Arabidopsis thaliana: one gene and its partner. The protein of the gene in region 1 purifies or fractionates together with the protein of each later gene. This does not show direct contact. Each region holds a gene or a part of one and is shown on either strand. Other genes may lie near its edges.

Region 1 (3,752 bases):
GGGAGCAAACTTGTCAGCAATAACCACATCGGTTGGGAGCAAGAGAGAGACACCTTTGGCCTTTGCTTTCTCCATGAGTGACTTTGCCAAGTCAAGCTTGTCCTCCTCCACAAGGGAAGATCCGACTGAGAGTCCTTGTGCCTTGTAGAAAGTAAAAATCATACCTCCACCGAGCAGGAGGATGTCAACTGTGTTCAAGAGAGACTCAATGACACCAATCTTTGTTGAAACCTTTGAGCCTCCAACAATGGCAGCAAAAGGCTTCTTGGGGTTTGCCACAGCTCCGACAAGGTAATCAAGTTCCTGACACAATAAAACAAGTAATAGTCTGATCAGTAAAATAAAGAGACTCATCTAAGAAGATACTCTTTATGCTGCAAATTTTAAATACCTTCTGCATGAGGAAACCAGCAACTGAAGGCTTCAAGAATTTGGCAACTCCCTCAGTGGAAGCATGAGCTCTGTGAGCAGTTCCGAAGGCATCATTAACGTAAACATCGGCAAGAGCAGCAAGCTTCTTTGCAAATTCAGGATCATTCTTCTCTTCCTCGGCGTAGAACCTCACATTCTCCAAGAGCAAAACACCACCTTCAGGTAGTCCTGCAACCAACTTCTGGACTTCCTCACCAATAGAGTCATTTGCCATTACAACCTATTAACACAAACAGAGTGAGAACAGTGTTCTTTTAAAAGCTAATGTTCAGAAACCTTGCAAGTCTAGAAGAGGAAGAGGAACAAACCTCAACACCAAGAAGTTCAGACAATCTGGGCACAAGAGGCTTTAAGCTGTACTTAGGAGTAACACCTTTTGGGCGGCCCTGAAACATAAATTGAGATCAGATACATCCATTAATTCAACAGCATCATCCAATTGAACTTGAGTATAAACATATCCAAGTAAACTTACTAAAACAATTACCCAAACAACACCAGAAAATCAACCGATAGAGTCAATGAACATATTGAAAAACAAGAATACTATATCTACATCCTAACATGCAAAGAGACTCTTCTTATACGCATGGCTCTCCGGATAAACAGATCAGATCAAAATTCCCACACCAAAATTACAACAGATAAGCAAGTAGTGAAGTGAGAACTGAGATAAGATATCATACCAAGTGACTGCAGAGAACAACCCTAGATCCATTACCCATCAAGTACTTGATGGTGGGAACAGCGGCACGAATCCTGGTGTCATCGGTGATGTTAGAGTTATCATCCAAAGGAACGTTGAGATCAACCCTCACGAACACACTCTTTCCCTTCAGATCCGCTTCCTTCAAAGTTCCAACGCTTCTCTTCGTCGCCATAGTTGATTCTTCGTAAAACAAACTAAAAACACTGCAAACAACAAGATGCACACCGCGAGTTCAGATTGACGGAGAAATCAACCAAATCGGTGAAACAGATCTAGAGAATCTAGCTCAAAACTTAATCGAAGAAAACAATCGGAATCTGAAGAAAGAATATACTTACATGAGTGGTTGAAATGAAATACAAGATGATCGAACGTTACAGAGGCTGGTATAAAGAGTTGGTGAATGGATCTTTCGAGAAGCGAGAGAACAATATCCCTTCCTTATATAAAAGCAGCTTGGACAACACCCCAAGAAATGTCCCTATAATTACCCTTTTTGCCACTGTGTCTCTCCTTGGATTCCACGGTTTAAATATATTATTTTTCGGATAGTGGGCTGATGGACCTTAATGGGCTAGCCCAATTATATAACTAATAGGCTTCGAGCCTCTTTGAGTTTAAGCGTCATCTTTCTCCTTCGAAGTATTAGGACACTCTCAACGACGGATCAGTGTAGATAAACCTCCTTACCGGAGAGAAGCGTAAGTCTTGCCGGAGAGTCGAGTGAGCTGAATGGTTGGTACTCACCATTTTCCTTCAGTAATTTTCTCAGAGAGAGCTCTTTAATCGGGAAAAATCTTCAAATGCGTCTGGTTTTGTTCTCTTTTTAATTTTTTTCTTGTGATTTCATTCATGGAGATTGCAATTTCGTATAAACCGAATCCGCTTATCTCTTCATCGACTCAGTTGTTGAAAAGATCAAAAAGTTTTGGTCTTGTTCGGTTTCCCGCCAAGTATGGACTGGGAGCTACCCGGAAAAAACAGCTCTTTCGAGTCTATGCGTCTGAAAGTAGTAGTGGGTCTTCATCTAATAGCGATGGAGGCTTTTCGTGGGTGAGATTGGCTCAGTCTATTCGCCTTGGTGCCGAGCGGATTGGGGAGAAGATTGGAGAATCTGTGAAGACAGAAATTGGGTTTGACTCGGAAGAAGCAAGTGGGAGAGTGAATGAGTATGTGGCTCGAGTTAAGGATAGTGTGCACAAGGGCCATCACGAGCTGACTCGCTTTAAGAATGAGACAGTGCCTTCGTTTATTGATTGGAACAAGTGGGAGCATTGGAAGGTAAGCTGGTTCAGCTTTTTAACGTAATTATCAAATTTCTGATTCTCAAGTATTGTTAGACTTCTGCTTGTGTTCTAAAACATTGAGGGACAAACGTATGGTATTTATTTATTTTGTTGTTGATTTAACGGAAGCATAAATTTTGGAGGAGACTACAACTACGCTTATTCTAGCGACATATACTAGTGTATTAGGTTGTTTCTTAATGAGGGAAGATGTATTGTATCAGGACATCAGGAATTGGGACGGTAAACGAGTTGCTGCCTTGTTCATATATGCTTTTGCGCTGTTACTTTCTTGTCAAAGAGTTTATGTTGCCATCCAAGCTCCTCGGGTAGAACGAGAGAGAAGAGAGTTAACAGAGTCTTTTATGGAGGCTTTGATCCCCGAGCCATCTCCTGGAAATATAGAAAAGTAGGTGCTTCCTAATCCTCAGTTTCCGATTGTAATTTTCTCTACTGGGACATGGTAAAATATGGTTCATATTCAAACTATGGTATCATCCTTTAACAAGTAAATACTCAGCTAATGAGGCATCTAAAGCGTCAAGAGTGGGAAGACTAAAAGAACTTCTGTTTATTTGATTTTGTAGAATGTCCTGACTTATTCTAGTGTTTCAGGTTCAAGAGAAATATGTGGAGGAAAGCAACACCTAAAGGCTTGAAATTAAAAAGGTTCATTGAAGCGCCTGATGGAACACTTGTCCACGATAGTTCTTATGTTGGAGAAAATGCGTGGGATGACGATCTAGAGACCACAGAGGGATCTCTCAAGAAAATAATTGGTAGAAATGCTAGGATTCAGACAGAGGCAAAGAAGAAACTAAGCCAAGATCTGGGTGTCTCTGGTCAGTATACATTCGTTAGGTGATACTTGTTTAGTAGTGGCATGCTGAAGATATAACAAGAAGTGATTTATTGTGCGAAACCTTTGTTTTTGACGACCTAATCTTATCTCACTAATCAAGTTTCTTTCAGAGCAGCACTTCTAGATCCCTCATCTACTATCATTGGTAACCTGTGCTTTTGACCATCTAATCCTCTATTGCATTCTTCTATGATAGGTGAAATTGGAGACAGTGTAGGTAATTGGCGGGAAAGGCTTGCAACCTGGAAGGAAATGTTAGAACGAGAAAAATTATCAGAACAGTTAAACTCCTCAGCGGCGAAGTATGTGGTTGAATTTGATATGAAAGAGGTAGAGAAAAGTCTTCGCGAAGATGTTATTGGAAGGACATCTGAAACTGAGGGAACTAGAGCTCTCTGGATATCAAAGAGATGGTGGCGATATCGCCCTAAGCTTCCCTATACCTACTTCCTTCAGAAGCTTG
Region 2 (3,752 bases), 6.2 Mb from region 1:
GTGCTGATATCTTACCTTGACAAACTTAACACCATTTTGACGGTACAGTTCTTCATATTTCTGAGCAAGCGATGGAGTGAACAATCTTTGCAAAAGCTGATCTTCAGGGAATACAATCTATTGTTCCACATGGGAAAGCCCAAAAGCAACTGTAAGTTAGTACATCTGTTCCACAATTTATCTGAACGTTTCTAGGAATTTGTTTAACTCATCGAATGATTAGAAGTATTCTTCATTTCTAGCACAATTTAAAAATTCAAGTGAAAGGGATAATAACCGTTGTATCTAGATTCCACGCAACAGCTGCAGCAGCAACCTCCATGCCGATGTAGCCACCACCAACAATGACAATTTTCTTTGCCTTTCCCTGTATCACATATTGGAAGGTTATTTTGTAGCCAGGAAATTTGGATTTTTCTGATGACGCATATTACAACATTGCATTAAGATGACAAAACTGGTAACTGGTAAAAATGCCCTTAGCTTACCAGAGATGCTATCAGTGAATCAGCATCTGCAACCTCCCGAATATAGTGAACCCCTGGCAAGTGCCCACCGATTTTATCTGGGAACCTACAATAAAAATCCAGAGCAAATATTCATAATATCAGTATACATGGTTGAAAAGGCCTAGGTTCTCTGATGTTGTTTATCAATCATTGCAAAAAAAATGCGACTTTCACTCACCTTGAGGCTGTACACCCTGTAGCGATAATTAGAGATCCATATTTTAACTGCTTCCCTGCGTCTGTGGTGAGTGTTTGCTTTTCAAAATCAGCTCCAGCCACTGGATCTTCATATATTACCTGTCCAAACAAAATGCATTAGTAAGACACAAGAGAAGACCACAAATTCACCGACGTACATTCCAAGCTGTACAGTTAATCAAACCAAAGACACTTCACTTACATTCATATATTTTAGAAAACAAAACTATGTATCAGAAGATGAATTACCTCAATTCCTTTCTCCTTATACCAATCTGGTGTTTGCCTTTCTCCACCACCTCCAACGCAAGTATGAAATCCCTGCATATACGACCACCCTCAATATAAACAGAGATCACAAAACTAAATCATACAAATCTTCATATCAGTAACAATCGTAACACTGTAAACAATCTACCGGTACTCATTCCATAATGTTCATGTAGCCAATTAAGAGCAATAGCACTAAAAGAACCACTCAAATTGATCGAATCAAAACATTAAAGTTGGCAAAGCTTACTGGTAAACGAGCTGGCTTCTTCTCTGGTGGGAACAAGTAAGCTTTTGTCAAAGCCGGTCTCTCATAAGGTGCGTAAGCCTAACAATAACAACCACAAATCCAACAATCAAACAAAGTAAAACCAATAGTGTTACTGATGAAGAAAACACTAAGGGATCGATTTGAATCACCTCTTTGGTCACAATGCATAGCCGACCATCAGCCATTCCATTTTCCACAAAAGTTCTAGCAGCATAACCAGCAGCATTTCCTCCACCAACAATCACAAACCTAACACAATCACACAATCAATCGCATAGAAATTCATCAACGCCAGAATCAAAATTGGAAGAATTATATATACGAACTCGCGATTCTCGTTAGCGAACGAAGCAGTGACGAGGCTTCTGGAAGCGATTCTAGAACCGATCGGAGAAAAACGAGCGGGAAATCGGCGAGCGAGAGACGGAGAAGACGGACACCAAAGAGATAATCCGGACTTCGTCGGCAACGTGGTTGATGCTAACGCCATGACTCTACGAACTGTAACAACAGATTAGAGAGATAAGATTTCGATCTAGGGTTTTGACAATCGAGGAAGAAGATGGTGGTGAGTGAGAGAGATAAGAAGACCTGCAGACATTAGTTTATAAGAAGAGCCAAATTCAGATTTAATTATTGAAACAAGTGTGTGAGTCTCTCTGTAGTGTTGGCTCTATAACAAAGCTAAAGGGCAATGAGAGTAGTTTGAAATTTGTGAAAAGAGAGATGATTTATTGTAAAAGATGGGTAGTGAAGAATGGAGCTGACTTGTCTTGTTGCTTTTGATTCATTTGTCTTTTGACTCCGAATTTTAATATCTTTATTGACATTTAGGCTTTCAATAGAACTTGCAAGTTAATGGAACTAAACCATTAGCAGATTACACCATTCTATTTTTAGGATGGAAAACAATTCGTCGCGGACGAAGCTTATTTTTAAGTTAAAATGGTAGTTGGTCTGTGGGGATTTTTATTTTATTTTCCTAGGACAACAATCCCTAATGCATAATGTTTTACGATACCATTGTAAGGGAGCTAGAGTTAAGAGGATTTGATTGAAGTTAGTCACTCTAGCCATAATGATTTATGTTATGTCCTTCAAGCAGATTATTTCATGGATTACATAGAGGTTGTTATGCTCTTGTAGTTTAAGAGAGTTTGATGATTTAGATTTGATACAAAAAAATTGTCAACTTTTGCAGATAAAAGATGATTTTAACTTTTAAAATCCTCCATTTGCCTTCTTTGATCTCACATTCTCACTTGTGAAAGCTTCGGAGCCGTAACTAAAGGGTTCCTTCAAAAATTTAAATTGTTTTTGGATATTATGCATTAATTTAACAAAATGAAAAATGAAAAATATAAGGAGAAGGGAAAACATATGACATGGGCCTGTCCAGAGTTCTAAAAGCCCAACCATAAATAGAAAAACAACAATAGACGAAACCAAGAAAATAAAATATCCTATTAGCCCCCAAAGAATTACAAAACTTCGAAATTGATTCCCAATAATTCAAAACTTTTACACAACTGGCGCCGAAACTTTCCCGGCTTGCTCCAACACCTCGAGAATCTCCGCACGACTCCTCACGATCCTATGAAAAACTTCTCTGATCTGTTGCTGTAACGGCACAAGCTCCTCCTCCATTCTCCTGCATATCTCCGCCATCTCCGCCACTTGCACCGCCGCAGATTCAGCAGCATCTTTCTCCGCCGGATAATGAAATCCATCTGCGAATTCCATCAACGAGTGACCTAGCTTCTCCATCCTCGTCATCTCCTCCATCAATCCAGCAGATCCTTTCTTCTCTTTCTTCTTCCACTCATCTCCGATTTTCTCATGGATTCCGATCAAACTCTGAGCCCAATTCAAATGTTTCGGCGGCACTGGTAAATGATTCGCTAATCCTGATCTCTCCTGACACGGAACCGCCGCCGTTAGCACCCACATTACGAAAACCATCACCGTACTCATTATAAACATTGGTTGAGGCAATCCCGCCGCTTCGTTACCACGTGGCGGCGTAAGATTCGCTGTCATTGCGTGGATCTGCTTCGCCGCCGACCAATTTCTCCCAACCGCCCACGACGACGATTTGAGCTGACCAATCGTTGCTCCTCCTTTACTCGCCGCCGATGATCCACCGCTTCGACGACCAAACGACCACGATCTCTCCGTCGTCTTATTCCCTCCGCCGCCGCCACCACCTCCGCCGCTAACATTCTCTTTATCCTCGAGACTCAACGCGACGACGAGATTCGCCAACGCGCGTTTAGCTCTCCTCACGTTACCGTCACCTAACGGACGTTGCTCCAAAGCCGTCACAGCAATCTCAGCTAAACGCTGGTAATGTCTAACGGAATCGATACCGTTAACAACGGCGGTACAAATGTCAAGCGCTTTAATCGACCGGTCTAACATTTCAGGAACTAACCGGTCAAAAGGCGGCTTAGAAATCTGGGTCGGGTCACGACCCATTAACAAAATCGCTTTGAATTCAGCTT

The links.
Region 2: the proteins of PGK (region 1) and MDAR6 fractionate together in Arabidopsis thaliana (co-fractionation; one large-scale study listed by BioGRID). This does not show direct contact.

The regions. Positions count from the first base shown.
Region 1 is NC_003070.9:29,924,983-29,928,734, forward strand, and holds the start of PGK (phosphoglycerate kinase), read right to left. Parts: upstream 1,655-3,752; 5' UTR 1,480-1,654; exon of another isoform or gene 1,345-1,479; 5' UTR 1,314-1,344; coding exon 1,119-1,313; intron 819-1,118; coding exon 741-818; intron 653-740; coding exon 392-652; intron 304-391; coding exon 1-303. Other genes in the region: FTSH12 (FTSH protease 12), read left to right, coding at 1,994-2,422, 2,652-2,836, 3,043-3,269, 3,486-3,752.
Region 2 is NC_003070.9:23,728,192-23,731,943, reverse strand, and holds the start of MDAR6 (monodehydroascorbate reductase 6), read right to left. Parts: upstream 2,070-3,752; 5' UTR 1,850-2,069; coding exon 1,840-1,849; exon of another isoform or gene 1,750-1,839; coding exon 1,575-1,749; intron 1,498-1,574; coding exon 1,398-1,497; intron 1,306-1,397; coding exon 1,228-1,305; intron 1,029-1,227; coding exon 957-1,028; intron 807-956; coding exon 688-806; intron 574-687; coding exon 489-573; intron 368-488; coding exon 278-367; intron 118-277; coding exon 16-117; intron 1-15. Other genes in the region: ROH1 (uncharacterized protein), read right to left, coding at 2,770-3,752. UniProt on the Arabidopsis thaliana protein: Catalyzes the conversion of monodehydroascorbate (MDA) to ascorbate, oxidizing NADH in the process.